Linked DNA regions of Mus musculus. The protein of the gene in region 1 interacts with the protein of each later gene in a pairwise test. Links are inferred from orthologs where the notes say so. Each region holds a gene or a part of one and is shown in the gene's direction. Other genes may lie near its edges.

What was found. The genes of interacting proteins can lie anywhere in the genome.
Region 2: the proteins of Gpsm3 (region 1) and Gnai3 interact in binary tests that used the Homo sapiens proteins (3 or more experiments, as listed by UniProt). The two-hybrid records come from large-scale screens. The link is inferred for Mus musculus from reciprocal best matches to the Homo sapiens genes GPSM3 and GNAI3.

What each region holds. Positions count from the first base shown.
Region 1 is NC_000083.6:34,588,418-34,592,291, forward strand, and holds Gpsm3 (G-protein-signaling modulator 3), read left to right. Parts: upstream 1-1,388; 5' UTR 1,389-1,804; coding exon 1,805-1,843; intron 1,844-2,043; coding exon 2,044-2,146; intron 2,147-2,324; coding exon 2,325-2,524; intron 2,525-2,752; coding exon 2,753-2,890; 3' UTR 2,891-3,337; downstream 3,338-3,874. UniProt on the Homo sapiens protein: Interacts with subunit of G(i) alpha proteins and regulates the activation of G(i) alpha proteins.
Region 2 is NC_000069.6:108,122,153-108,125,652, reverse strand, and holds part of Gnai3 (guanine nucleotide-binding protein G(i) subunit alpha), read left to right. Parts: intron 1-1,815; coding exon 1,816-1,858; intron 1,859-1,969; coding exon 1,970-2,111; intron 2,112-3,500. UniProt on the Homo sapiens protein: Heterotrimeric guanine nucleotide-binding proteins (G proteins) function as transducers downstream of G protein-coupled receptors (GPCRs) in numerous signaling cascades.

The sequences.
Region 1 (3,874 bases):
AGGGATGAGGCCATGTTCTCCAGTCACTGCTATCTCCGAGAACCCCAAACTCATGGATAATAAAGCTAATTTGAAGTGCTACTTTATCTTCTGAGGGACTAAAGGGTGAGATGGAAAAAGTGCATAGTGTTTGGGAAATTCAATACTCCAGAATCATTCATATAGTGAGGGGTTAAATATAAATTAAAGGCAAACCGACAATCTGGGAATTCCAGTTCATCTGGGATATCACTGAAAGTGAGAATCTCCAATAGTTTTCAAATATACAAGGTGATAACTGTGTCCCTCATCTAAGACCATTTAGCTATAACAAAGATCCCTAAGGGCTCAAAGACAGGAGGGTCTCGAACTGCTCATACTTCATTAGGCTTTACCCCAATGCTGATAAACCAGGAGGCATTCTGGAAGATTATCCACCATTTGAAGGGCATTCACCATGTGCCAAAGTGCCTCCTTACCAGTAAGCCTTAGTAATGCTGTGAGGTAAATGACACGCAGTTGAGGTGCCTATTTAACGTACCAGAGCTAGCTCACTTGGCCTCCAGGTTCTCCCAGCAACCCCCAGTCCCTACCTGCTACAGGATATGGCTATCATACCCTGCCCCCTACCCCTGCCCTGAACTTTCCAGACAGCCTGAACTGCCCTTCCCCCAGAGGCTCTCTACCCTATATAATCCAGACATCTTGGTTACCTATTCCCTCTCTCTGTGCTCTCTCTCTCTCTCTTTCTACCTCCCTCCCTCCCGCCCCCTCCCTCTCTGCCTCTTACACTTTTATATGCTTGTTTTTTATACTTTTAATTTGGCCTGAATTGGCTCATTATATCAGCAGAGAAACCTATTACAGCCCACCTTACCCTTTCACACTTTGAGGCTCTCTTCATACGATTTCATGCTCCGAGTCACTCGGCTCCAACTTCACAGGGCAGACAGCCTTTTGAAGACCCCAGATGTCTATCCGTTCTGCTCCCTTCCTGGAGCTACTAGAACTGATTGAAGGCTGAGCTAAAGTCAGTATTCCACTCTCAAATCCCTAGGCAAGTTTTCCCCTCAACCTTGTCTATGCTAGCTTGGCCGCCAGTAGACATTCCCTCATACTCTCCACCGTCGGCAATGCTTGGGGCAGTGATAACTCCAGCCCCAGTCTCTGGCTACTTTTACTGTGTTGGGCCAGTGTTAGGGCATAAGATGTATTGCGAGGAATGCATCCGGGGTCAACAAGTCTTCTGCTCCCCCCCCCCCGCCCCCACCAGAACCATGTCTTTCCCTGATCCAGTAAGTCAAGAGAGATGAGAAGGGTCAAATCCTAATCAGGATCAGTCTTAAGGAGAGAATGAACCTGGTTTGGGGGAGGGGGATCCCGAAGAGTGAAACCACTTCCTGTGTTGTAGCTAGTTCCGGTGTTGACAGAGAAGAGCTGGAGGGGAGGTGGGGATGGTGGAGCAGTGTGGCCGGCTAGGGGGTTACTGAGGCTCTGGAGATGAGCCGGCAGGAATCCGCCCTGTCAGGAGCTTGCTCCACTCCTGCAGCTGGAGTCTCTCCCAGTCTCTGTCCTCCCCTGGGGCAAGAGAGGTCAAACAAGCTGTTTGGGTGGGAAAAAGAGGATGGAGGAAGTTGACAGAGTTGGGCGGGGCCCATGGGGGGGCTGACCAGGAACCCGGCTTCCTGCTCAGTACCCTGGCATCCAGCCCCCAGCTCACCCCCACCCCGTCCAGCCCCCATTCCCCTCAGGAACCCAAGGTTCCGGGTCCTCCTCCCAAATTCCAGCTACTCTTCCCCATCAGTGTCTCTCCCCAAGTCCAGGGATGGAGGCTGAAAGACCCCAGGAAGAAGATGGTGAACAGGTGAGCTGCTGGGGTGCCGGGTTGGGGAACCAACCCAGGGAGAAGGGACATGTGGGACCTAGTGACGGGTGGACACAGGAGACTTGGGAAAGCTTGGGCACACCAAGACAGGAACAAAAACACAGGGGAAATGGGTCACTGGCCTAGCCCTCCACCCACACACACCTCTGACTGGAATGAACAACATGTCTTGGTATCAGAGTCTCCCGCAGGATGATCAGGGATGGCCCCCTGTGAATGCCACCGCTCGGCCTTGGAGATCTGCTCCTCCCTCCCCTCCTCCTCCTGGAACCCGACACACAGGTACCCCACCAACCCTGGAAGATCTTGACCCTATCACCCAGGCTACCCCAGTGTAGGTCCACTAACCATCACACCTGTTGGTCCCTAGCTCGTCCACCAGCTCACCTGTCCCCACCGCTTGCTACTCCCATTCTGCCATAGCCTCTGGGTCTGAATCCTCCTCCTTCCTCTCCCATAGCCCTAGGGCCCCGTTCTGGCTCCCTGCTCTCCCTGCAGACTGAGCTCCTTCTGGACCTAGTGGCCGAAGCCCAGTCCCGCCGCCTAGAGGAACAGAGGGCCACCTTCCACACCCCCGAGGCCCCACCAAACCTAGCCCCAGCCCCACCCCGGCTTCTTGAAGACAAAGAACAGCTCTACAGCACCATCCTTAGTCACCAGGTAAGGCACATCCCACCCCACATGCATCCATGGAGACAAGACCCAGGTCTCCTAGCTGGCCTTCTGCCTGAGCCCTAACTTCTTTGTCCCTAAGCATATGTCCTTTGGTAAGCCTCTAGTCTCCCCATCCCCATCACAGATTTCCTATCTGCCCCACACCAACCCTGGCCTCTCTTACCCAAAACCATTATGGGCTACCAATGCCCTTTTCTCCCTCCACGTTTCTAGTGCCAGCGGATTGAAGCCCAACGGTCTGACCCGCCCCTTCCCCCCGGGGGGCAGGAGCTTCTGGAGTTGCTGCTGAGAGTTCAGGGTGGAGGTCGAATGGAGGAGCAGAGATCCCGGCCTCCTACACACACCTGCTGAGACCGGAGCTCCTCACCAGTCCCTTCTCTCTGGGACTCAAAGCTGGGACACTCCCCGAAGGTCTTCAACCCTGTTTGGCAGGGGTAACCAGAGATGGAAGACCCGGCTAAAATTGCTGTATTTACCACCCACTTTCCCTGGGGACTGGACTTGGGACAAGTACTCTAACCATGAAGATAAGCAAGGTAGGGTGGACACAACTCCCGAGGACAGTTAAAGAGTCTCTATCCTGAGCTGTCAAGCTACTAAACAGGGTGTGAGGGCTGCGGCCTGCCCCTGCCTAGTGAGAAAAAAAGGGAAGAGTAAGACAATTGTCCAGCACTAGCAGTCTCAGGCCCCAAGGCAGAGGGGCCCAGAGGCGGTGAAGCGACTCTTACCCCGCCCCCACCCTGCTGCTGAGTCTGTCTGATGTTTTGGTTGTATGAATAAACATAATTCCCCTCTGGACTGAAGACTGGTATCTGGGGGTGTGTGTGGGGGGGTGCAAGGTGGGTAGGTGAGGCCTGGGGCAGCCGCTCTCAGCGATCTGGCCAGAGGCCAGCTCCCCTCCCTGGCTGGTTAATTACTGGCTCATTAAGCAGCGGCTGGAGACCTCCCTAATCATCTCCCCCAGCCCCCAGTCTCCCGGTTTTAATTAAGTCGAACAAGGAGGGGAGTCATTAGAACAAGAAATATGAACCGAGCTGTCGGAGAACATTCCAGAGGCCGGAGTCCGCACCACCCGACCATGGCCTCGGAACCCAGGTGGCCGAGACACCCACCCCAGCGCCCTTTCGGCCAGCGCCGAGGCCAACCCAGTCTCTCCCCGGCCGCCCGGCCGCTCCCCGCCTCCACCCGCCGCCGCCGCCGCCGCCTGGCCTGCGTCTCCCCGCCCCCGGCTCCTCCCCGTTCCTCCTCTCCTCCCCTCCTCTTCCTCCCGCTCCCCTCCCCCAGCCGCCTCCCTCGTTCCCCCTTCTCCCTCCTCCCTCCTCTCGCACACACACC
Region 2 (3,500 bases), on another chromosome or scaffold:
AGCTTTGAAGTGAAAGAGTGGAAATTTCAATTTTGCCACTGCTGTATAACTGGACAAATTACTTGACCTTTTTGCTTGATTTATCTCATTATAAAATGAGGGTAATGGGGCCCACCTTACAGAGGTGTGAGGGTTGAATGAGTTCATATTACCAAGATACCTAGAATGCCCTGCTACTCGTTACTCATTGCTCTTTAACGTTTACTCATGAATAGTGCCTTAAAGCATCAAGTTAGGCAAGTTAGAAAAAAGCATAGGGTCTGGAGAGGTGGCTCAGTGGTTAACTGAGTTGTGCTTCCAGAGATCCTGAGTTCAATTCCCAGCAACCACTTGGTGGCTCATAACCGTCTGTAATGGATTCTGATGCCCTTTTCTGTCATGCATACATTCAGGGAGACAGAGCACTCATATATATAAATAAATAAACTTACATAAGTATAGGTAGAGAAAAAGACAAAGATCAACTTTGAAAAAAGCTGTCTTGAAAGGCAGGGGAAGGCCTAGAAATAACCACTGAGCTGTTTAGAAATGGTTTCAGTGAGTGGTGGCGATGAGCTGGAGGTTCTTAATTAGAGATTGTAAGGATGGATGACAGGCTAGGGAAATTTTGCCATAAAGGAACACAGAGAGGGGCAGCAAAGATAGCTCAGTAGGTAGAGTTGCTTGCTTTTTAGTCTGAAACCTCAGTTGATCCCTGGGACCTTCATGTGGAAGGAGAAAACCAACTCCTGTAAGTTGCCCTCTGACCTCCACACCTGTTCATGTGAGTTGTCACTCTTCCCCCAACCCCATAAACACAATAGATCTTCTAAAAAGGGAGGCACAGGGAAGGTGGAATAGCAGATAGAAGAAAGTGAATGTGTAAGGGGATGTCAAAGAATGGTACTGGTGAGTTGTGTAAAGATGGTAAAACAACAGCCTGTGTGCTAAGACATCCCAGTAAGAAGAAAAAATAGTGATACTTTGGTGACACTAGAAATTGCAACAGCTACAAGTCGAGCTGCAATGAAGTTAAGTATATAGTCAGAGCGATAAGGGCATTGAGACATTGATGACATAGAGAATGTTAATGGAGATACATACAGGTAGACTAGTAGATTTGGTTATGAGAAGTGGAGTAGTGCTCTCTGATTGCCTTCCACTTTCTCTAAAAAGGAGGAGCAGGACTGTCATTTATGAGTCAGAAGTAGCATTTGATGCTGGGGAGAGTGGTAATGTTACAAGAGGCATTTTGGAAAATGGAAGAATTACTAATCAGGAAAGACCTAGCAGGCAGACTATCAAGATCTGAAAGTTTATTTGACCTTTGATCTTTAGTTTAAGAGTGATTTCAGTCATCAAAGGAGGCTGTGTAAATCCTCCCCCCTCCCCCTAGAAGAGCTGACTCATGAAAGGTAAAGGCAACGTGAGTTCTGCTGATACTTGGAACTTCTCTAGCTCTGTGACTAGGAGGGTTGCTTATGGAATATTCTTCAGGTCCATGGCAGGTTACAGAATTACTAACTATGAGTAGGCCATAGGCCTATTTGTTGCCTGTGTTCCTTGAGTATATCATGTTTTATGATGTTACTAAAAATATTTGTGTTGCTATCCTTGAGTAATGTCTGTTTTGCACAAATGGTATCAACATTAAACAACAGCAAAATGCTCTAATTGAAAACCAGTTTTCCTAATAGACATGAAAGCTCACCAAAATTCCCATTTGGATCTATATCCCCTAAGCTAGACTTCCTAGTTGCATTACTTACTCCATATCTGTTTGATTACAAAGAAATTCAAAATCTGTTTTTTTGTTTTGTTTTGTTTTTTTTTTAGGCGCTGGAGAATCTGGTAAAAGTACCATCGTGAAACAGATGAAGTAAGTTCACACAGGGCCTTTTAAGACTGAATTTCCTTCTCTTCATAAAAAGTTTATAATGCTTTCATTTTCCATTCATGGTATTGACTTGCGGTTTTCTCCTTTTTGAAGAATCATTCATGAGGACGGCTATTCAGAGGACGAATGTAAACAGTATAAAGTAGTTGTCTACAGCAATACTATTCAGTCCATCATTGCAATCATACGAGCCATGGGACGGTTGAAGATTGATTTTGGGGAATCTGCCAGAGCAGTAAGTATTTCTCATTTCCTCTTCACTTGCTGCTCTTCAGTAGGCACAGTTAAGCCAAATTTGTGTCATGTTTTAGGGAACAAGAAGATAAAATGGTACAAAATACCGTGTGTCTGTTTTTGAAGTGTTAGGTCTGACTCAGGAGACAGTAAGTTACCGACGCATGCAGAGTCCTGGAAATGGGATTCTGTAGCTGGGCTGTGTGATGGCTGTGTTCAGTTGCTTCCTTTGCCACACCATTGACATATATTTTATAGTAGTTGATGATGCTAAATGTTACTCTAAAAGACAGGATGTATATGTTGTATATTTAGTCTTGCTTTCAGAGCTGTAGGGGGTCAAAGGGAAAAAAATTCCCCAAATAAATTCTGTAAGGACATAAACACTAGCATCCCAATTTTAGAGGTGATTTTGGGTGTTCAAAAATATCTTATCACTGTCTTTCATTGAATTCAGGGTTCAATTAGAATTGGGTTGTTACTTATTCTAATATAACTCTTTAATGCTTTATATATATCAGAATTCAAAAGTCAGTTAATAATATTTAGTACACTTTGGGCAGTTTGTGAAGTAGGATGTTTGAAGCCAGTGGAGAAAGGACCAAATGAAGACAGGAGATCTTCTTATGTTGTTACCAACTCAATTTCAAGAACATGCTAGAGAAGTATAGAGTCCATCAAAGGATGTCAGCCATGTTCCGTGGTGCAGTTCTTAAGTGCCCTGGGAAATAAATGGAAGTGGAGGGGGTTGGGATGGAGAGGGCTTTGCCTGGAAAGACAAAACCTGTGTGCTTGTGAGCAGCCTAGGGACGGCTATGAGCTGCTCAGTTTATCAGCTGCAAGTTAGGGTTGATAAGTGGGAAGTGAAAAGGAAAATATTCAGAGAGCTGCTGTGGCTTTGACTTGTTGAGTAGAATATATCTTGGAGGTGAAATAAGAGATCAGGAACTAGTTAAGGGTTGTGGGAGAAAAGAATAGTAAGAAAAGAAGACTAGGAAGATATGTGAGCGACTTTTACTGTCTTGTAACAGAGTTCAGGGCCTCTTCTTCCTCCTGGGAATGGTACTCGGCCTCAGCTGTGCAGGGTGAGTCCGTGGACAACATTTAGCCCGCAGGCTGTTTCCTGCCCCTTTTTTTCTTTTTCTCTTTTTTAAATTTTGTTTTTAATTATGTGTATGTGTGTGTCCACATGTGCATATTGCATGTGTGTGGATCCCCTTGAAGGCCAGAGGAGTTTGATTTTCCAGAGCTGGAATTACAGGGAGTTTGACACTACTTCGTGTGGGTGCTGAAAAATCAAACTCTGTCCTCTGAAAGAGCGGAACGTGCTCTTGACTGAGCCATTGCCTCATACCCCGTTTCTGATGTTTAGAGACTGTCTTACCTGGAG